Linked DNA regions of Styela clava. The protein of the gene in region 1 purifies or fractionates together with the protein of each later gene. This does not show direct contact. Links are inferred from orthologs where the notes say so. Each region holds a gene or a part of one and is shown in the gene's direction. Other genes may lie near its edges.

The links. Proteins that work in one complex are often made in the same cells at the same time.
Region 2: the proteins of signal recognition particle receptor subunit beta-like (region 1) and signal recognition particle receptor subunit alpha-like purify together in Homo sapiens (affinity purification with mass spectrometry; 6 studies listed by BioGRID and IntAct, counting the BioPlex papers as one, with this or other methods). This does not show direct contact. The link is inferred for Styela clava from reciprocal best matches to the Homo sapiens genes SRPRB and SRPRA.
Region 3: the proteins of signal recognition particle receptor subunit beta-like (region 1) and E3 ubiquitin-protein ligase RNF185-like purify together in Homo sapiens (affinity purification with mass spectrometry; 3 studies listed by BioGRID and IntAct, with this or other methods). This does not show direct contact. The link is inferred for Styela clava from reciprocal best matches to the Homo sapiens genes SRPRB and RNF185.

What each region holds. Positions count from the first base shown.
Region 1 is NC_135264.1:14,567,025-14,574,658, reverse strand, and holds signal recognition particle receptor subunit beta-like, read left to right. Parts: upstream 1-5,040; 5' UTR 5,041-5,044; coding exon 5,045-5,836; 3' UTR 5,837-6,927; downstream 6,928-7,634. Other genes in the region: signal recognition particle subunit SRP54-like, read left to right, coding at 2,152-3,639; oxaloacetate tautomerase fahd2, mitochondrial-like, read right to left, coding at 7,089-7,160. UniProt on the Homo sapiens protein: Component of the signal recognition particle (SRP) complex receptor (SR). Ensures, in conjunction with the SRP complex, the correct targeting of the nascent secretory proteins to the endoplasmic reticulum membrane system.
Region 2 is NC_135253.1:18,725,127-18,733,324, reverse strand, and holds the start of signal recognition particle receptor subunit alpha-like, read left to right. Parts: upstream 1-5,112; 5' UTR 5,113-5,198; coding exon 5,199-5,321; intron 5,322-6,198; coding exon 6,199-6,282; intron 6,283-6,902; coding exon 6,903-7,066; intron 7,067-7,857; coding exon 7,858-8,006; intron 8,007-8,198. Other genes in the region: sodium-dependent proline transporter-like, read left to right, coding at 251-366, 987-1,163, 1,495-1,659. UniProt on the Homo sapiens protein: Component of the signal recognition particle (SRP) complex receptor (SR). Ensures, in conjunction with the SRP complex, the correct targeting of the nascent secretory proteins to the endoplasmic reticulum membrane system.
Region 3 is NC_135251.1:12,014,254-12,022,450, reverse strand, and holds the start of E3 ubiquitin-protein ligase RNF185-like, read left to right. Parts: upstream 1-5,111; 5' UTR 5,112-5,166; coding exon 5,167-5,727; 3' UTR 5,728-8,197. UniProt on the Homo sapiens protein: E3 ubiquitin-protein ligase that regulates selective mitochondrial autophagy by mediating 'Lys-63'-linked polyubiquitination of BNIP1.

The sequences.
Region 1 (7,634 bases):
CTTTAAAATTCATCGCATTCACAAAATTATGTTTTTTCTATAGCATATTATCTTGTATGTATTATGACGTCATACTACAATAAACAATTGCGAGTTATCAAATTTCTGAAAAAAATATTATAAAAGTCTGATGTAGAAATATAGTTTAGCTCTATGGAACATAAATTCGTAAACCATTGAGCTATCTAGCTAATTCCCGTGCATAGTCAAGGGTATATCGCACGTAGTGCGTCTTTGCAACAATATTTAAAACTGCCGTTCTACATAATTTAAAGATTACCAAGCTTTCGCTTCAACGTAACATCTCACAAACGATGTTACGAATTTAATTTTATATAAATTTTCGGAACAAAATGAAACGAAGGATACAATTCGTCCAACTAATCCACAATGTTTGGCGACATATTTTCAAGATAACATAATGGGAGCCTAATAGAAAACGTCGCCTCTCCTTCAAGTCGGTTAAGAAAATAGCTAACGATTAAAATAAGAAAGATGCAGCAGGAGTGGCTATGTGAATCCCTATTGGATAGCGAGGAGTCAGTCAAACAATCCTCTAGCTCGCAGGGTAATAAGTAGTCTGATAAATGTGTTTTAAAGTTTATCAAGTAAAGTTAATGACGCTTTCTTTTTTACACAGCAGCACGCAAAACACACGGGAGGAATCCGAAAGAAAGCAAATGCTAGAATGTATTTGAAACATTCGCCACGATGAGCAAACTACCAAGCTAAAACAATATCAAATACTAACCTGACATAACCTACGAAACAGAGCAGGTTGCGAGCGATGGCAAGAGTGGCCCTAACACCTAAAACGTGCGTAAAACAGGTCAAAGCAAAACTAGTTTAGAAGTTGATAAATTGAAGTGAAAAGCTGATAGAGTTCGGGTATGAAGTTAACATTCCAGATACATGACATGTTTTTTCAGTAGATTTTTATAAAAATAAAACAATATTACATAACGTTAGTTGGCGGAATGTGAGTCAACACACGTACACCGCTCTCCAGAGGTTTCGCCAATATCAGCATCTTTCTTGCTTATAGAATAATGTTAGATACTCACATTTATTTCAGTTACTCAAATAAAAATTTGACTCCAGGTTCTTTCGGTACAGCATTCAAAAGAAAAATTTCAATTCTACTGCAGTCATGGAAACTACAGTTTCCTCTGTGTCGTCAGAATGGATTAGATTATGAAGTAATAATCAAATCATTTTCTGAGAACATTGTTGAAATTTAAAATCTAGCAACCTGAGAACTAATCTAAATTATAAATAATTCAAATAGGATAGGAATTTCACATTTTTATTTCAATTTAGAAGATAGTCGATACGGCGAACCACGGCTTCCCTCCCGGTTAGTGGTTCAAGGCGGTAACCGGTTACGTGTATTTGTTTCAGATGCATGGGTTTGAATGTAACTAACATTTGACAAAAAGTACCTCAGAACTATTACAAATGAAATTCCTAAATTTATTTATCTGTCAAAAAAGGTAAAAAAAATATTTCTTTATATGCCTGACTGGTACTCAACCATCCATATGCTTGCTTTTCGATGGACGTCATCAGCAATACAAGCCATCGTGGAAGCAATGGAGAAGTTCTTGTCGGTGCTTTCCCGTTTCCAGGTTGCGTCTCTGAGTTTTTGTTTTTTTTAGTTTAAATTTTAGAAAATTCTAGATTATCAAGACTGGAACTGCAGTTCGGTATCTTAAGCATTACAGTACGGTACATAGATTACATCTTTAAGAATCGGAATGTTGAAATCAGGAAATGGGTTCAGTTTTTAATAGCCGATTTGACACCATCAGACCATGTCAGTATGTTGAACTAAATGAACTGGTAACAAATACTTTCTAATGGAAAATGAATTCAATGCCTAGCCTACCGGTACATGCTGGGTATTCACAACTTGCAGACTTTTTACAACTTTTTAAATGACTTAGCAATGGGACAAGGCCTCTTGGTAAATCTGTAAATATCTGAATATTAAAAAACCGAAATACCGGTTTGTTGTTTATGCCTACTAGATTGAATTCCCAAACATATAATTTAATTCAGTATTTATCAGTAAATTTTATACAATTTACAGTTGATAGATCTAAACATAGATTATAATATTAATTTGGAGAAAAGAAGTAAAGCAGCAAAATGGTGTTAGCAGATCTTGGTCGAAAGATCACGGACGCTTTGCGTTCTCTGAGCAATGCAACCATTATCAATGAAGAAGTTTTACAATCAATGCTCGGGGAGATATGTCGAGCCTTACTCGAAGCAGATGTCAACATTCGACTCGTTAAGCAGATGCGAGAAAATGTCCGCTCAGCGATTGATTTCGATGATATGGCATCTGGTTTGAACAAGCGTAAAATGATTCAATCCGCTGTATTCCAGGAGCTTGTGAAACTTGTCGACCCAGGTACCAAAGCATGGCAGCCAACAAAAGGTAAAGCTAATGTAATTATGTTTGTTGGTCTTCAAGGTAGTGGAAAAACAACGACTTGTACTAAGCTTGCGTATCATTATCAGCGAAAAAATTGGAAAACATGTCTAATCTGTGCGGATACTTTTCGTGCCGGAGCTTTCGATCAGTTAAAACAAAATTCAACGAAAGCTCGTATTCCGTTTTACGGCAGTTATACTGAAGCTGATCCTGTGATTATTGCGCAAGAGGGGGTAGAAAAATTCAAAGAAGAAAACTTTGAAATCATTATTGTCGATACAAGTGGAAGACACAAGCAAGAAGATGCTCTTTTTGAGGAAATGTTACAAGTATATAATGCCGTTGCGCCTGATAATGTCATCTTTGTAATGGATGCCACAATTGGACAGGCATGCGAATCGCAAGCAAAAGCATTCAAGGAAAAAGTCGATGTTTGTTCTGTTATCATTACAAAACTTGATGGCCATGCGAAAGGTGGAGGTGCACTTAGCGCAGTTGCAGCTACAAAATCACCGATCATTTTCATAGGTACTGGTGAACATATTGACGATTTCGAAATGTTTAAAACGCAACCGTTTATCCGAAAACTTCTTAATATGGGTGACATTGAAGGCCTTATCGACAAAGTTAACGAACTGAAATTGGATGAAAATGAAGAACTATTAGACAAATTGAAACACGGACAATTCACTTTACGAGACATGTACGAACAATTTCAAAATATTATGAAAATGGGGCCATTCAGTCAAATTATGAGTATGATACCAGGATTTAACGATTTCATGACAAAAGGACATGAAAAGGACTCGATGGAACGACTAAAAAAACTCATGACAATTATGGACAGCATGACAGATGATGAACTTGACAGTAAAGAAGGAGCTAAACTTTTCACTAGGCAGCCAAGTAGAGTCGCAAGAGTGGCGAGGGGTTCTGGTACGCTACCTAAAGAAGTCAACGAGCTTATGATGCAATATGGAAAATTCGCGCAGATGGTCAAAAAGATGGGAGGCATGAAAGGACTTTTTAAACCTGGCGGAATGGATAAAAATGTTAACCCGTCACAGATGGCCAGACTTAATACGCATATGGCAAAAATGATGGACCCAAGGGTTTTGCATCAAATGGGTGGCATGCAGGGACTCACAAACATGATGAGACAGTTTCAACAGGGTGGAGGGCCTGGTGGCAAATGATTGATTTATAAGTAAGAATACAATTTAAAATAATATATTCTAAAGACTAAAATCGCAATTGGAATATGGCTTGCATGAAAGCTCACCAGATTACTTGAGCATACTTAGGCTATATATGAAAAGTTACAGTGTTTTGCTATGTTTAAACTCATAATGCTCATTGGATATTTAATTTTTTCTTATGCTTCACTTTTTTAATAATTGATGATGTTGAAGAGTATGCCAATAAATAGGATTTATTCCCAATGGTCCTTTCTAGGCCCGGGGTTCCCACAATTGTACAAATATAAGGGAACAAACTTCCCAAGGATTTTGACCCAACGTTGAAAATGATGTGATCTGATGATGTAAATTTCCTATTGTTTATGTGTTCATGTCATTGTTGAATTTTTTTATCGGATTGTAAGCAGATTTTAAACTATCGTTGGTTTTCTAGAGATTAGGATATAGAGGAAAACCGGATCGATATTAATTACTGATGTACCGGTAATACAAGGATAAATTCTTGATTTTTGTTTTCATTATGGGAATTTTGGTGTTGCTGTGAATCAACAAGATTTCTTGTTTTATTGTACATTTATTTCATGTGATTGAAGGAAATCATGCCAGTTTTATTCTTTATTCTATTATGAGTTTTGTTTCATGGCGCATGTGTTTGCAAATGAGACAGAATATTATTCGCCGGATATTTTTGTGAAAATATATGGAATTTGTATATATATATATATATGTACTGGAGAATACCTTTTTAAGCAGTGGAGATTGCATAATATTTTGTTTTTCTCATGATCTCATTCTTACAATGCTGTGGACAAGCAGAGTATTATGGACATGACAATAACGAGGAAATTTAGTTTGACAACTAAACAGTCGCATTTTTGTAAATTTTGAAGATTTGGTCTGAATATCACCAAGCCAGGACCAGTTTCAATTAAATTTAAAATATTTTCTCATTATTTATTCTTGCGACTACTTTTATTTACATGCTCAATTGTGTTAGTGAGTCATGCTGAGTGATACTATAGCAAGCATGGCTATGGACTCCCTTGAGGCCTAATTGAGCTAATTAAGAATACAGACGAGACTCAGGGGTTGAAAATTTTGAACCTTCTTGTCACGAAAATTTTCATGGCGAAAAATAAATACTTTGCAACCCTTTTACCGCCGTGGTGTAATTAGCCACTGCTGTGAATCATAGAAGTAATTCTCGCTCCAATACCATAATAAATTGACTTGATTAAAACCCCAATCTCTCACATTGCATCCCTAGCGATGACCAAAGTAACTGGTAGACTTGCACATTTTTGAAAGAGTGCACATTACCTTTAAAAAATATTGTTGCATTATTCTGTGTATGTATATTACGGCTTTTTGATCAAGAAAACTGTCTCTATATTTCAGATTTATGAACTATAGATGTTGTGAACCAATCATTGACATGTCATACTCAATCGAACGATATTTAGACATTTGTCAGGAATATGTGGGAGAGGAAAACATGTTGTATTTTGTGTTCGGAGTTTCGTTCATTATTTCTCTCCTATTTTACCTTGTATGGAAACTAGTTGCTGGCGGAAAAGTCAAGCGACGTGGAATTTTATTCGTCGGATTGAGTGGTGCCGGGAAAACTTATCTTTTGAGTAAAATACTAACTGGACAGGAGATTGAAACTGTAACATCGTTGAAAGAAAATCAAGCAACGTACGCATCAGAAAAAGGAGCTCTTAATATCATTGATATCCCTGGCCAAGAAGCAATCCGGCAAAAGTTTTTTGACCAATTTAAAGATACTGCAAAAGGAATTATTTTTCTCATTGACAGCGAGTCGTTTTCTAAGGATTTGAAAGATGTTGCGGAGTATTTATTTAATATTTTGACCGACCAGAACGTCTTGAAATGCGTGCCGCCTCTTTTGATTGCATGCAACAAGCAAGACCTATTGACTTCAAAATCAAAAAAAGTAATCCAAGATCACTTAGAAAAAGAGTTGAACACAGTTCGGAAAACTAGATCTGCGGCCTTGAGTTCGATTGATGGAGAAGAAGCAACTGTGCATCTCGGTGTAAAGGGGAAGCCATTTGAATTTTCTCATTTAGGAAAATTGAAGGTTGATTTCATTGAATGCAACGCTAAAGGTGACTCTGAAAATGAGTCTCGACTTGATGAACTATTACTTTGGTTAAATAGACAGGCATGAGTGTTTATAGAGCAGCCTTTTCTCAAATTTTTTTTTGTTTTGGAACACCAAGAAATTGTGAAAAGGGTGATAGACTGGCTCAAGGTCTGTCAGCCTGTATGTTGCCATTTGTGAAACAAATTTATGACCCAAAATCGAGCAATTTAGATTCGAGGCTGTTCTGTTTCCACAGAACACAGTTTGAGAAATTCGGATTCACTGATTGTTGGAATCCATTTTCCTTTGTTTTTTGGTGGTTGTTTAATAAAAGAATGAGTGTGAACCTATATTAATCCCAGTTGCAATTATTGCTTTATTCATTTCTGAGAAATCTTTTCTTTGTGGAAATATAAGAGAAGGAACTATTATGGACGTTTGCTTGTAGAGAATTCACAGGGGAAATGCTCGCTGCAGAGCAGGTTGGTTCAAAAAATTCTAGGTGTCCAAAGGGAAAATGTGTGGCTACATTAGTCATTGGGCATGTATGACCTTACGACCATTTCGCTAAATTTTTTTTTTTTTTGGAGAGAAAAGAGGCCATATCCACCCTACAACCTGTTGAGCATGTAAATTGGTAATCCTAAACACTGATTATGGGCTGCTACAGACAATAAGTTTTGCTGAGAATTCAAACCACATAATGTCAAGTTCATGAAATCCTCCCAACAAGCACCATAGCTAAAAAATATTTCACCAGTAGACTCACACCTACATAATATACAGGAAGACACAGATTTAAAAATTGTTCTAAGATTTCTACAATCCTAATGAGTGCCCAAAGAAGATCAAGTCACATTTATACCAAGATCAGTAATATTTATATTCAAGACATTGCGCAGATGGAGAATTTATTCGCCGATGATTTTTACCTCAACTCATAACAGAGCGGTATAGAACTTTCAATATTTATTTCAAAAGAGATGGTACAGAGATCATCACTTGTATAATCATGCTAGATAAATGAAGAGGCTTATTTAATTCACTTCGCGAAAAATATGAAAATCAAAATTGATTGAGAAGAATTTTAAGATTCAACAATCACAATTCAGAATCGTATTATACATATATTTCATCATGATCAAAAGGATCTTAAGGCCATTGGAAAAACACATGCCATATTCTGATACATTCGTTAGAGGTATTATACCAAATAACCCTAAATTTTAATAATAGTAAGAAGTACTAATTCCCACTTGACAGTTCTGCCAACACTTTGCATAAATTACATGAAAACTGATTGCAATTTTTTCAATAAAATCATTTGAACATATTTTTATTCTTCTGCAACAACTGTATTAGTTATTCTCCCAATTCCTTCCACTTCACAGGTGATCACATCACCGGGCTGAAACAAACAACATGATTTATGAAACATTTAAGACTTCATTATATTTAGATAGAGCATTGCCCCCAAATACTGAAAGTTCGACAAAAACTCCCAGCCGTAACCATGACGACCATGCATGGGTAAGGGAAGAGGCAAATGGTTAGAATGAGTATATGGAGTGAGATTTAATGTATTTTCTGGGTTAGGCAGATATAAAACAGGAATATGTTTAGAGCGGTGGTTCCCAACCTTTTATGCCTCATGGCCCCCTTTAGGAGGCATTTAGCACTGATGGCCCCTTGTTTATCATTCCAGAGGTATTTATGATGTTATTTAGATTGGTAGATTCCAAATCCTATTATTTTCAAACAATTCTTGCTCAACAAAGTGAAAGCACCTTGTAAAATAACCTCAGCAAGCAAGACGGGGAGTTTTCTAGTAAAAGTAACATCAGTTTTGCGCTTTCTGGCATGATGGTGCCCCCGCTGGTTT
Region 2 (8,198 bases), on another chromosome or scaffold:
ACAACTCTCTTTTCCAAGCTCTAACAATTACCCAAAAAGAATATATTTTGGAAAACACCAACCCTTCAGACAACGTCTTGAAAAATTCGATATTTCATTTATGTTATATATATTGATACGAGTCTGTGTGTGTATGGTTAATTCCAATTCATGAAAGTATGTTTGCCGAGAGTTCAAATAATGGTATTTCACGATCTCTTATGGCCATTGTAGTTTGAAATATGAAAAGTTGTTTTCACGCCGTTTTTAGGTTTTCTGTTCACGTATCGTTGGAGGCTGGACAAAGACATTGAACTTATGTTGGGAAGGAAACCAATGTGGTATTTCAGAATCTGCTGGGCTTTTGTTACACCGGTCATGCTTGTGGTAAGTAGCCAATCAGTGTGAGGCTAGATTTTAGTAGGTTCTAACTATAATATTATACCTCTGTCATTGTCTGATTTCAATGGGGCAAAAGGCAAAAATGGAAAATAGACTACAAAACACAGTAGATGAGAGAATTTGCTCAAACTAAAGTCAATGCAAAGTTACAGGTAACCACTGGAATGCAAAGAGACTACAATTTCATGTATGAAGGTGCACTCACTCAAAGGGAAGATACTCTTCTTTGAGCTAAATCACAGGGGCTAATGCTATGCCAAGAGTTATGACTATTACTTTCAGTCCTGACACTGGGGAAATAGTTGTCGAAATGAGGTGGAGTGATTTTCAAATTAATTTACGGAGTCGAAAGGTCATTTGATTGACACTACAAGAATTGAAAGTTGAATTTTAACATAAACTGAACTCGAAGATTGCAGACGATATCGTAGCCGAACTTCATTATTATTGAGCCGTATTGTTTGTATCTGGAGTCATAATTCTGAATTTTGTTTACCGGAGTCGGAGTTTCTGAGCATATCGAAGTCGAATGGACATGAAACCATTCTCCAATAATAAAGGCCCTGAACTTCCAAGTAACTGAAAACTAATATCTCAATTTACAGTTCGTCATTGTGATGGCATGTCTCAGCTATGGACCGATATCGTTGTCTGGAGAAGTATATCCAAAATGGGCGGATGACCTTGGTATGTGCATGTCAGTTACAATTGCAGCGGTTGTGCCGATATATGCAGTATATGCGATGATAAAAGCTGTGGTAAAAGGGGATTCGATTAAAGATGTAAGTATGTGTGCCGTGTATGCATTTGGTTTATCTCAGGAAAAGGTGCAATAAAATTTTTGATAATACGAGCCCATGTGGAATTCATTTGACTTTAATCCTTCCACTTCTATAGTACGCAATAGCTCCTGTCCCAACTTATATGGATATCAATCGTCGTAATCTGTTACATGTTAAAATAATTCTGCAAAAATACAGCAAAAATTAAACCACTTCCAATACAAAACTGCAAGTTTTTGATTGAAGTACCTTGTTAATGGTACGTGTCGCACAGCCATTTAAAACATAAAGTTCGGTCACTTTTTATCGGATGCCATTCTTATTGTCACAGCTGTTCAAGCCGGACCCATCGTTCTGTCCAGCTGATCGAACCATTGCTTACGATCATCTTCATGGAGCTGTGAATGATCACAAGATGACTGCTTATGCCGTCAGTCCGTCTTCTTATCAACAGAAAGTGGATGATTCAATTCCAAACGCTTATCCTGAATTGTAAAGAGATACGTTTCTCATAATATCTAGTCCTACTAATACTGAAACTTAACTCCCCTAAGTCAGCAGTAGAATAGTTCTAAAATATTGCATTAAATCATTTCTTTCTACTTTTTCTATGATGTAAAAAAGGATCGTAAATGAGAAATACGCGGCCGCGATATTGTAACTCCGTTATCAGTAAAAATCAGACTATCGGAAAATCCCCTAGGATAATTACATATCAAATAATATTAATAAGCTGTAATGGGCAGTAAATAAATATATAAAAGTGATTTGATGGTAATTCGAAGGGAAATTGTACAGAAAGAAATCTACCGCTATCTACACTATTTCCTTCGCTCGAAAGTGCCGTTCCACTTTATTTTTATATTTATTATGTGCGGTGGGTGTATTCAGTATAACGAAAAAATAACTACTTGTTACTAATCACGACTTTTCCTACGTTCTATGAATATCAAATTGACAACGGTGAAATATACTGAAAACGGTGATATATACTGAAAATAGATGTATAAAAAGTTCATTTTTACTTTAAAAATAACGTATAAGCTTGATTTTTTATGAATGAAGCGAAAACGAGTGTAAAAATATTTGTTTTTTTTTGTTTGCTGTTGTATAGGTATTTTTATACTATACAGTGCATACAGATAATGTAACATAGTAATTTTTATATATTCAAATATATGAATAAAATACATAACACTTTGCACAGTAATGCATCTTTATTTCTAATCGGATTGTAAAAAGAGCGGCAAAATATACAGTAGGTATAAAAATTTGCCAAGAGACAGGATTGAAGTTCATTGAATAATAAATTATTTCATTATAAATAAGCGCACATGATTCAACCGAGATTGACAAAAGTTCTATTGAAATAGCAAATAATATTTATATACATAGATATGACGGATATAAAAGAGGTCTAGCTATATTAACAGCAACACACTTTGGTATTTTGATGTTCTAGGTATTTTTCTTCTTCATTGGTGTACAATATTCAGTTTATAGTGACATAAACAACTGAGTTGCAGATTGCTACAGAGAGTCGAATAAGTTGAGTGAGAGCATTGCTATATTTTGTTCATTTATATATAAGTGCAAAGAACACGACGAACCACAAAATTTAGAATAGGCTGAGGCGGCCCGAGCAATCTTCCCATCCATCTGTGGCTCTCCAAGTGGCCACGTGACGCCTTATTTCATAGCCAACAGCAAACCAGTGCTCACCGGGGATCTCAGTAGTATTGACTATTGCACATTTTGACACTACAGAATCCCTGTCTGTGGCGCGAATCTCTTCTTGAATATGGCGCAGGAAAGCTTCATATGAAAATACACCTGCGAACCAATTTCCCGTGGAAAAATTATCAACGGCGTGATGGAATATTCTTGAAATCTCTTCATAATCTGCCCTCCCAGATTTTATGAGATTTGTGATACTTTGGAGTAAGGACTTGAAGTTCCCATCCTTCGCTCGGCCCAGGCAATGTCGCAGTAATTGCTTTATGAATTCGATAGTAAGACGATGTTCGTGGCCCATGTTGCCAGTCTCTCCGGAAGCATCCACAAGAAAATATTTCAATTCTCTAATTCTTTGAAATAAATTAAATGCTGCATCGATAGGTGTCAATTGATGTGACAAATGAAAATTAACATCGAGAAATTCGATGTTTCGAACGATTTCGCAAATTTGAACATCATTAAGACGAATCGCTCCTGTGTTGCTGTGTAAGCCGATCATGTAATTAAACATCTCTATCACTTTATCAGGAGTATTAAAAAGTGACGGGTTCGATAATTCGATTTCCCAGTCAGGTTTACGAAGAATGAACGCACTACATATTGAGATATAACCGCATTGATCTCGTCCTTGTTCATTCGGGTATAATTTCACCTGGCCGTCAAAATACTCCAGACCGATTTTTAATAAACGTTCTCTCAGAAGATTCAAAGCGTAGTGCATAGGGACCGAGTCGACTAATACGAACGTCCCTGAATATTGTACCAAGGCATCACTTTCCGGCTGTATTGAATGACTGTGCAATGTTTGAGTTTGTGCAATAGAGTTATTGGTCGAAATTACGGGTATTGTGGTTTTCCGATGCATGGAAGCGCACGTATTCTGGTTCACACGTATGTCCCTGTGCAGTGTTTGCGTAACAACAGAGTCATTGGTTAAAACTTCGGGCATGATATTTTGCCTTTCCACATATTCGCCCGAAGCGCTTGGATCCGAATTGTTTTCATCGTTCCGATTAATAAATCTTAGCCCACTAATACAATTATCTGTTTCATCGCTCTCTTCGTCTGCCCGTTTCGCTAACAAAGCAAAGTTTGCATTGTCATCACTACTTTCTGAATGTGTACGTTCATGGGCCATTGCGAAAACAGCTCGAAGTTCAAACCAGTGACTGAGACACCGGCCTTGCCGATAAGGGACACGTAAAATATCTCAATAGCACAATGAAACATAATTTCCTCCACACGCACGAACTTGTCCAACTCTAGCCCTAAATCTGTGACTGCTTTCTGAAACCCTCTGTGCCCATTGGTATTTCGTAACAAAAATTTCACTTCCTGTTTCATGTAGGTGTCACATTCAGGTAAGATCCGTTCTGGCTGAGTGAATAAAACTATACGCACACACACAAATATCCTTCGATACCGCCTGCCATTTAAATTTTGCCAGACGATAAATAAACACAGTATAATAATCGCTAATTCATTTATACAGTGCCATTGTATAAAATAATATAGATGGATGGAATTTGATTTTATGCGTTCGTAGGCCGTTCTCATTACATACAAAAACACCACAACACAAAAGCAATGAGTAACAGAAGGGATTTGAGAAAATTTAGAAACACATATTTTGCGATCGACATCGTCACACTATTGATGACCGGTGACTTTTCAGGTACCCATGTACTCTCGAAATTTCCGCGTGAGTTTTTATTCACTATAATATTATTCTATAAGTAATCATTATAATCATTTGATCTAGTTTCATTTTAATACGTGGGTAAACACAAAAATGAAAAATATCATTTCGTTCGATAACGAAAAACAAAAAATGGTGGACAACCGCAAGATGCTTAATTAATCTGGCATCATCTGAATTTTCTAACATATGGTTTTAATTCAACAATATGACGTTGAATATTTCGTGTCATATCATAATCGAAATAATATAACACGCCTAGTAGAACACGCGTCCAATTTCCCTTTTGTAAAAAGTAAAATTTTCAAAAAGAGTTTTGCTTAATAAATACGAATATGTTTTAAAGGACACAAAACAGATAAAACTTAATTTAGAATTAATTTTTAACACGTAAAATCAAAAATTTACTGCGTGCTCAAAATACATTTTAATAATTCACCTAATAAAAAATATCAACAGGAACACTAATTTTTACGCGTGGGGTTAATGATGAAATTTTCTTATTGTGGTTATCTTTATTCAAAGCGTTATAACAAGCTTATTAGTCCGGCTGTTTTCAATCTGGTATATTTCCTACTTCGGGACTTAATTTATTCGAGATGTTGGACTTTTTTACTATTTTGAGTAAAGGTGGATTTGTGCTTTGGTGTTACACTTTTCAAGGCATCAAGACAAATATATCAGAGCCAGTTAACGCCCTGATAAAAGGTGTTATTCTTCAGGTAACGATTGGAATTTTTTAATTCTATGCATCTGCGCGTCAAGCACAACTAGGTACCGTACCGAGCTAAGGATTATTTGAAATTCCAAGTATAGAATTAGCTACTACTTTGTTTTTGTAATTTTTAGTCAGAGGCAGAAACCAAACACCTACGAACAGTACCGGTAACAATGTTTCAAATCTGCAAATCAGAAATAGGTAGTTAAAGTTTGATTGTTGTATACCGGTACCTGTCCGTACCTCCTGCCAATTTGCCATTGTTTAATGTGTAAATAAATGCTGGAATGAGGGGTATAGCGAAGTACACGCCGTACCATACTGCCATAAGTGTCTAAATAATGCCAAACAAGAATGTTATGTGAAAATGAATGCTGTGAGGGCTTAAATAACGCAAAACGAAATATAATATCTGAATGTAAAAATAGAACCCAAATTGCAATAAATATACTGGTAAGTCTGTCATGTCGGAACGCACAGTACCCATCTGGCATGCCCTGTTTAGTTGAAAATTGAGTGGTTTTGATTTGACTAAACGTGTCTGTCAAGAATTCTATTCTTCACAAAACAGATGTTTTTAAAAAAACACCAAAATTTCATATCAAATTTTTGTTTGGCATTATTTGACTAAGCAGTTTTGGGATCTATTTTACATTACATTTGTTTTGACGTTATTTAAACACTCAAGGCATGTACTTTGCTAGACCTGAAATGGGAGTAGTGGAGCTTGGAAAATTCATTCCCATATCATATTTCAAATTTGCATCATTTTCCAGATTTTCCCAAACTTTTTTGTGTTCATTGTTTTTTGTATGGTTTTTTTTTTTTCGGGGAAATTGAAATAAACTTATACTATACTTATCAATTCTCCATATTTTCAGGAGCGAGGTGGAAGTTCTCGCTTTGATCATGGATCATTAACATTAAAATATAAACTTGACAATGAATTTGAACTTGTGTTTGTGGTAAGTTGGATAATTCATTTTGTATATGCTTTTTACCTCAAACCCAGCCCAGGTCTAGCTTATCAGAGGGATTTCATTTATTTTACAAAGCTTGCTTACATCATGAAGATTATGTTTTTAATAATTGAATATTTTTTGTTTTATTCATGGCAATGTTGAGTTTTGTAGTATAGATTAAATTATATAGCAATGCGGGATACTAGGATGATAACATAATATCAGATATGACCATCTCTGTTTATGGTATCCAAATCTATTAATATTCATATTTTGTTGATATCATACATGCCACAATCAATTTATGGATTGCTGTTTCGTTCACAATAAAACTACACCATTTCTCCTTTCTGATTAATTTAAATAGTTGGTCTATTTGGTATTTGTATATACATCATGATTTACAGAGAAAAAAACAGGATTTTTATCATCTGCATTCTCAAATATACATATTATCCCAGAACACTATTATTTTTAAACTTCAGTATTTATTTTTATATTTCTCTATTTTAGCATTCATGTTTTACATTCGTAGTTGGGTCCCATGATCCCAAGTTTCGGTTTTTCCAGTTTTAGTTCTGTGATCTCTGGTTGACTTGATATGTTTTTTGTTTTGCCATTAGGTTGGTTATCAGAAGATTTTATCTCTGACGTATATTGACAAATTTATCGACGATGTCCACCGTACTTTTAGAGATCTTTACCGGCAAAAACTGGAAAATTCCGGTTTTATCAAGTTGATCAAAGAGGAGTTTGAATATGGAGAAAAATTTCTCAAAATGTTAAAGTAAGCCCATAATTTTTTTTCGAGATTTCCTTATCACTATGCATAGCAGTTGCAGGTTCCAATCTCGTAATGAGTGAATATGCATGATTGGATCACTGGAATTTCTGACAGATTTTATCGCCCATGTCTCTGAAGTTTATTTACATCCCACTTATTCACGAATTATGCTCCAAACAAGTTTTTTGCGGGCATCCTAATATCTAATGGTATGTAGGGAGCCATTCTTTTTGTAAGTACCAAAATCTGTAGAATTTGGCATTGCCTATCAATTTATTACATACTGTGTAAGACAGTGGGCACAGGGTTCAATCCCAAGATTTTTAACCTGTGATGTCAGCAGAGTTGAGTCTAACTCAGGCGGGTAAGGTTTTTAACCAGGGGCTGGTGGGTCATGTAAGTGTGACGTAAAAAGTTACATTTTATGAACAATATTTACAGTGTTACAAAGCAAAGGTGGAAAACAATATGCCTCATGCGAAAACTAAATTTAACCGCAATCTCAACAAATTCCTTGAGCTATTTTTAGCTAAAACATTAAAATTTGATTTCAGTTTGGTTGTGGCAGCTTTAGGCGGGCCAGATTGAATTACGTAACGGGCTGGGTTTGGACCACGGGCTGTACTTTACCCATGTCTGGTCTAACTGCTTTGGCATGCCTGAGATAGGGGACAACTTTTTAAAATGAATATGGCCCTCTCGTTGTGTACATATATTCATATATCTGTCCATGCTTGTCTTATTGCTAGTTTTAGTCGAGTTATAAATGACGTTAAATAATGATATTTCATCAGGGCTGCTGAAGCAATTAAAGTGCAAACTAAAATGAAGGATTTCCATGAATCTGAAAAATCTAAGAAAACTGTCAAATCATTGAAAATGGACAAGAAAGAAAAAGATAAAAAAGTTGAAAATGAAGTTGTTGCTCCAGTTGTTGCTAAAGGTTGGATTGTTAATCGATTTTTACCCTCAATGTCGACGATTTTAAACTAATTCCAAATTGTGAAGTATCATTCTTGAGTTCTATCATCCATTCATATAGGATCCCAACCCCTTTCCTGAAATTCCTCTCTCACTGAGCATAAAAAGTACCAATTTATTCAATCTTTAATTGATTCTTAGCTGGTGTTATGCA
Region 3 (8,197 bases), on another chromosome or scaffold:
TACAGCACTTCTTATCGTGTTTCCCCGAAATTTAGACAGGATTTAGATTTATTTTTTTTTGAAGAATAACACTATTTTTTTTGGAAGAGCTCTTTTGTGTTCATTTATCAAAAATAAAATTTGAATTGTAGAAAATCACAAGATTTTCACTAAACATCATATAAAAACCGACATCTATTGTTTTTATTTGTATTTCCTATACAAAAATCAAGTGAAAAATATCATAATTGTGATATCACACAATCTTGAACAGTGGTGTGATCTTTATCTTACCTCGGGCCAATGAACCTTTCCTCTTCCACACATTTTAAATTTATTTTAAGGGTAGGGTTTAATTAAAATCATTTTGAAAATTCAAATTATTATCTTATTTTCAGACTAGGTCTTCATTTCGAGGAAACACGTTAGTTTTGCGATGATTAGCCATTGCTGTGTTATGTCATAAAAAAAATCAAATTAAAGTTAAGTGGGTCGCCATAAGCTGTGGTAATAAATAGTCTGTCCCAACTTCATCTAGAGCAGGTTCCCAATCTTTTCACCCTGACGGGCCGGTGAAATTGATTAAAATGTACTCGAGGATTGGCAAAATATTTCATGAATTAAACATAAAATAATAACATATATATGCACAATAAATACAACGTCGGGCACTCACTGTTCGTCTATGGGTAAAAAAGCACACAGAAAACATTTTATATAAAGAAAGCAGGTCCATGCCAAATCATACTCAGACACAATTAACACGAGTGAGAATTTTGCTTCTGTTTCGTTTCCAATATAAAAGGCAAACGAGGCATCAGGAAGTTTCTGCAGTACGTATGTCCGCAGTGAGTATTGAAAAGAACTTGGGAACAAACTAAACACATCTTTGATTTGGAATCAGGCACGAAATCCCGCTGGGTATACTGTAATCGAGAAAAGATCTCTGCGGCCCGTGCTTTTGTTGCGGGTATCGTGACCTCCTGTAGGCTCACATCAGGTTCATATCTTACTGGATGCCAAGGAAAGCCGTGGAATATTATACTGTTCTTGACTGTTTTCTTACGGCCTCGGGTATAAACAGAGAAATATTAATAACCACTGTACATAAAAAGTACGAAGAACAAAAAAATACCGGTGTCGATTTTAGGCTTCTGACACGTGGGAGATTTAACGGAGCGCTTTCATGACGAACCGGAAAGGCGAATTTTAAATGAAGCTAACAAACATAATCAATGGATACAAGATTTAACGAGTAACTTATTCATATTTCTGTGCAAATTTTATTAATGTAATAATCTGTAGCAGATGTATTTATCGTGTTACATAATTGAATAACTTCAACGTTTTGTCGCATGAACTTTCGATGACAATATAGTCAATGAAGACAGCCGTGGGGGGGGGGGGGGGGGGATGTAAATGTAGGCCCCTAATGTAAAATTTAAAGCTAAAAAAATAGAAGGTATTGTACGTACAAATCTCAGGTTTAAGTAGAATATTATATGGTATATATGGGTTGAAAGGGCAATTGACGTCATCGTTAATTGTGACGTAATGCTCCACTTTGGAGATGTCAATTTTTTATATTTAGTAAATTAGGCTTTTAGCATTTTGACCCACCAAAATTTAGGTTCCCCCTCGAGGGTCACCACGAATTCGATTTTTAAGCGCTTTACAGATTTCGGCCCATGGCCATCATGATTGATGTCTATGGACCTTTCCCCGACCTTTGACCCTCGGAAAATTCTCCCTATACTTTACCATTGCAAAATTGTCAAGGCTATTTCAAGAGTGCTTTTGCGAGTTGGCGTCTGTAAAATGGGGTATGTGTTTCAAACCATCATTATGATTCATCGCATACAACAATCTGTTTTTTAAAAGTACCGGTAAAGAATTTCAGGCTAGTCTATCACAGCCTAATTTTTATTACTGCAATTAAATTAAAACTCCTAGAAAGACAGAGTGATAATAATAATAATAATAATAATAATCTTTATTTTGATTTCCCCAAAAAAACATACACATAACAAATAATGAACACATAAAACAAACACACAGAATAATGGGAAATCGGGAAAACAGGCAAAACCTCGAGTAGGGTTTAAAACACGTATAAATACATGTGCCTGTTCACCCATGATATTACACTCACAAACATATTACAAAAAAAAGATAAAAACACGAACGTGTTATCGTTCCAACGTCCGGGCGTCTAACTTGTGTTACAAACAAAATGCAGGTGCGTAGGTTCTAATTTAAAACTGTTTACGTCGAAATGGACATGATTCGGGCTGTGTTTATTAAATTGGCGTAAACAAGTGCGAACTAGTGAGTTAGATAAAAGCAGTGTCAGAATGAGTAATAAATAAATCGAAATGTCTTTTGGTTGATTTCCTCTTTGTAAATAAAATCCGACGTTGTGATGTGCTGTAGTGTGCTAGGTGCAATGTTTCATAGAAAATGCCTGTCCATCTCTTTTTCCTTAGTTCTTTGCAAAGCAAATATGTAAAATTGGAATCTTGGGTAGCCTGTACAGCAATGCCAAAGTAGTCTATTATTTCGTTGTCCATCAATTAGGATGTTGATTGTTTCTAATTTTTGTATTCCATTTGTTTCCACTAACATTGAATTGAATTGAATTATCTGATTTTTATTTAAGTTCCCAAAACACAACTGAAAACTAACGAATAGAGTTCAAAAACGCGAAAACGAGGTAATGTTTACAATCACGCTTGAAAATCTGTCTGAGTGAGAAAAGTGTCTGAGCGAATGCGAAAAGGGGGCATTGTTACGTCACTTTTTGCATCTTGCTGATTGGCCAATGTCACGAAGTAAACAAGGAAGTCCATGCTCGGGGAAAGGTCCATTGCTTTGATGTCACGAAAATATGGCAACCCTAACTTAATCCAATATCCGACAGGTCACAAACATCCAGCCAGGCTCAACCAAAGTACAGGGAGAATATTTCAGGGGTCAAGGAAGGACCGGGGAAAAGTCTATCTTATCTAGATTTCGTGTCCAATAATGACCAAAAAACTCAGTGATGACTGTCTTTCATGTGATTCTACTTGTCGAGCAGACCGTGATCAATTTTTGTGAATTTATGACGTGTTGTTGATCACATGCCTGCGACTGCTCGCTTTCATCCTGTTCATATCTAAGAATCTGTAAGATTGTTAACTGTGATTGAAGGTTCAGATTGTGTGTCGATGATTCGTATAATATTTCAGTTGGATATTTGGCAAATCCCAAGCGTGGTTTTGGTCAGGATAGGATAGGATTTACATATTTATCCAGGGGGAGAGGAAAGCCGATAAGACGGCTTATGCATATGGCGAACCACGGCCTCTCGTCCGGTTAGCATTCCAAGTCGGGTATGGGATTAGTTTTACTGTATTGTTTGTTTTTCGGAAGCATGGACTTGGTGGTGGAGGAAGCCGTCAGCATTTACAGATTTATGGTACCGGTAACGACAATCCTTACCGGTACAAGATTAGGTATTACGGTAATACCGGTACTGTACCGGTACCGGCACCGTACTGTATTACGGTACCGGTACCTGAATACTGGCATCCTGCCGAATACTGGAATATGGTGTGACCCAATTTGTATTTTCTTTCTTTGTTTTGTTTCGTTTGTCTATTTCTCTTTTTCCAAGTACCGGTACTAAAGTGCAGAAGTAATACAGTAATAGTAGGTCTATACCGGTACCGGTACCGGTATCTTAATATACGGTGCGGTACAATTTTACTTCGACGTTGTGGCACATCGTGCTAAGTGTTAGGAATACACTCGCCACCACATCTCTGATTTACGGTACCGCACCCTGCGTGGGTTCGCAGGTTTGAATCCCATGCGGATGCGGGGATGATCATGTGCGAGAGGATTGCTGGACTCCTCACCGCCATAGGGTGGTTCACGTAACCGCTGGTCGTTTACTGCTTCCTGGCTTCCTTCATCATCAAATCCATGCTTCGAAAACAAAATAACTGGCTAACTAATCCCATACCCGACCTGGACTGGTAACCGGACGAGAGGCCGTGCTGCCGTGGTTCGCCATATGATTAGCCGTCTTGTTTCCTTTCCTCTCTCCCGAGATAAATATGTGAATCCTATCCTTATTTCGATCTTTCGTCTACAACACAAATTAAAATAACAAAACACAGACAAGGGCAACTGGAAGGTCGGGAAAATGGGCAAAACAGGAAAATGATTACACATCATGACAATCATACTAGAATAAATTAATGAACGAAGTACATGATCACCAGAAAATGAATTTCACGGGCGAAGCTTACTAATTTTGATGAGTGAAAGCTGTGTAGAATATAAAAACAAATAGTTATGTGACGGTGCCTGTGCCGAAATGTGAATACCAATAATAACAAATAATTGATTAGCTGCTGTTTTTTGTAAACAAATAAAGCTAAACAACAAACATGAAAACTAGTTTTGGGCGTTGCTTCGTATGTCTGTATGTTACAAAATTGGTTCGAATACGTAGAAATTGGAGTAAATGTTTTAGTCTTAGCAAAGTCCAACATTCCGGAGCTTGCTGTCAACAAATGATCAACGCAAATCTTTTTAAAGCAGCTCCAATGTATAAATGATATACAAGCTAGTCTGTATTCAATCCTGTTTGTCCGGTTTTCCAAGTTTTAGTCTTGAAATTTCTTACTCCGGTACTCCACTGTTTAATACCACATTCGCACCCGATGGCGGTCTAATGTTTTTCTTTTTTTTTCCCTTCTGATTTTATTTTGTCTGCGTGATTGTATGTCTGTATGTATAGATGTATGTATGTGCGCGCATGTTTCAATTAATTTATTACCTTTGAGTGAGCAAACATGACCACTTCCATTAACAACACCATTTTAATCTAAAATGTGTACGTTTCAAATCAGGCAAGAGAAGAGAATGCGGCTATGCGCATTAAAATGAGCGAAATGGCCAAAGATTAAACACAGCGACAAGAGCAAAAAACTTTATGTATTTTCATCTATATGAGTGTCGTTTTTCTTGACTTTACTTAGGAGTAAATTTTTGCAAATGATTAGGTTTACTTTTTTTTTACTGTGAACAAATATTATTAAAAACGAATGCTTAGGTTACGACATTTCATAATCATCTTAATATTTTCGACAGAATCAAACTAATTACTTAGAACTTTCTGAACATTACATATCAATGGCCGAGTCTACACCAAAATCCGAAGAAGTAAATGGAGAAAATTCATCGAGTGAACCATCTAATGCTTCTGCGAATAAAAACAGCCAATTTGAATGCAATATATGTTTAGATGAAGCTAATGATGCTGTCATTAGTTTATGTGGACACTTATTCTGTTGGCCATGTCTTCTTCAATGGTTGGAAACAAGACCACATCGACAGGAATGCCCAGTATGCAAAGCTGGAATCGATAGAGACAAAGTTATTCCTCTTTACGGACGAGGTAGCACCAAGCAGGAAGATCCACGGAATAAGATTCCTAAAAGGCCACAAGCTCAGAGACCAGAGCCAGAAAATAGGAATGGATTTCACGGATTTAATTTTGGTGATGGCGGATTTCAGATGTCATTCGGTATTGGTGCTTTTCCCTTTGGACTTTTCGGAACGTTTTTTAACATAAATGACGGCCGACCTCCCCCTCCGAGGCCAGATAACCCTAATTATCAAGATGAACAAATGCTGTCGAGAATCTTCCTTGGAATTGCTTGTATATTAATGTTCTGGTTATTATATGCATGAGATTGTGATTGTCAGTTTAATCGTAATTAATTTATAACGGTAAGTCTGGGAAAAAACGACCGCACTTTTTTAAATATTTTGAAGAATTTTATGTTAAAATAGAATAATTGTAAAGGACATTCATTTATTAAAATCTGAGAACTTTATAATTATTTACGTAATAATAATAGCTATGCATTATGTGAAATAAAAAATGAAAATAGAAGTCGAGTAATTGAAAATATTGACATATTGATAAGAGTTGCTTCATACAATGATAACATACACTAGGGTTAACTAGCTCCAACTGAGAATCTGATATTAAAAGTAGGCAGTGTCTTGCATGGTGTATAGTGCTTCATAGTCGTCACTTGGCGTAAATTATTTTTTAACTACCGTAGTTACAGTGGGGTTCGATTTTTATTAATGTACATAGCTGATACGAAATATGTTGTTTATTACCTTGTGCTTTTTTGTTATTGATTGTTAATTAAGTCAAACACATTCTTCGATCAACTTTGCATTGAACAGCAAATCTTTATTTTTGGATTTGTGTTTGATAAAAAAAACCTACAAATCAAATTTTTCAATTAGCTAACGGTTTCATATTATTCATACTTCATAGTGCTTAAGAAAAACTACTACTACTATCGCAATTCGACACAAAGTGTACATGTACATCGATTTGCTGAACTTTTGTTTTCTCTGTTGAGTCTTTTGGAACCCTATTTTTATCGGAACCTTTTGAAACACTTTTATTTGGTACTTGACCCATGTAATCATATAAATAGGAATTATAGATTAACTCATGATATTGAAAAAAGTCATGAATTTGTAGAGTGATTGTCACATTATCAATTTCTCTGTTTCACTTTCTCTGTTTACGATTAATTTTTCGTTTTCACAAAAACCATATAAGATTCATGGGTATATTTCACTAGAATTCCAGATTGTGCGATTTTTATTCATTGTATGTCTCTGTCCTAATGAATAGGAAATGTTCGGTGTGTATTGATTATATACCGCTAGCTCATCATAATTGCTTTGTATTAGTTCAATTTTATTGTTCATCTGATTTGGCATAAAGGAGATTGAAAACGATTCGAATATTATCAGACCAATATCACTTTAATAAAAGAGAACATTAAAAAATAAAAGTTAAATCTCTATTTTTTTGTGAAAACACTTTTATTTGTCATTTGAACTTTTGTATCCATATAAATAGGAATGATAGAGATCAATAGGGAATATGTAAATTAAATTCATCCAGAACTTTGTGTAGGCAAATGGTAGGCTATTCGTTTTTGGCCAGCCCTGGTTGTAATGATTTTCAAATGTCAGTGTTAATCATAACAGAAAATCCTAATCCATTACCTGGTCAGATTTAATATAGCATCTAGCATGGATTAGCTATTTTGAAGTTAGGCCTTTTTATGGATTGCATCATGTCTTTTCTGAGTAGGAAGAAATATACAAACCGGGACTGATGAATTACTGAAACAGATGTATGGGTGGTAACTGGAATTTATCTAGCAGTTTAACGATTGTTGCTAACTGCTAAATTATTCAATGTGGTTCACACAGAACTGAGATAATTTTTCACGTCAGGGCTGGGCTCCAGCTTCCTACCCACTGGTGTTTTTTGTTTTGATCACTACCATAAAATATCAACGCAAATCAATCTCAAGTTCAACTCGGAACTTTGAATTAATATTAGAAATTGAATTTTAAAAATATTGTTATTTGTAAGAGTAAGAAGTATAAATGTGATAAATAATTAGGAGCTGAAGCCACTAAAATTTTGGGTAGCCAATTATGGTAAGCTTAGCTTTACCTCTAACATAATGTTACGGCTCCTCTGCCTTGGTTCACACAAAGTATCTTCAAGTGTTATAGTAAACGGAAGGGTGTTCAAGTATATTTTGATGTTTCTATTATTTCGCATAAGGACTATTTCATGCTTGCTGTGCTGTTATTATCTGTGACTGAATAACATAATAATACTGTTCATGTTTTTTATTATTTTTTTTTTGATAAATGTTGTTATGAAAGTACAGAATTATATGTTCATAAGGTAATACTGGGTTTGCTACCATGCAATTCATTTTCATATTACATTAAGAGTAGATTTGTTGTGCAATGTTTTATTTAACTAATGCTCATTGAATTTGTGCGAACTTGCTTATTACAGATTGTAGTGTATGTCAGGGAGAAGCTAGTGGGAGGTGGTTACGTGGGTCATAACCCCCAACCTCCCCGTTTGAAGATTTTTTTGATGCAATGTAATTTTTAATTTCTGCGAGGCGAGTTACAAGCAATACTGGAATATATTCAATGGCGTTCCGCCGGTAACGACACACAATTCTCAGTTTGAGCCGTGCATTGTACCTTTGTTGCATTTTTAATGCCAATGTGACCCCCCCCCCCCGGTAAAAAATCCTGGCTGCACCCCCTGGTGTATGTATAGAAATTAGAATTGTTGCATTCAAAT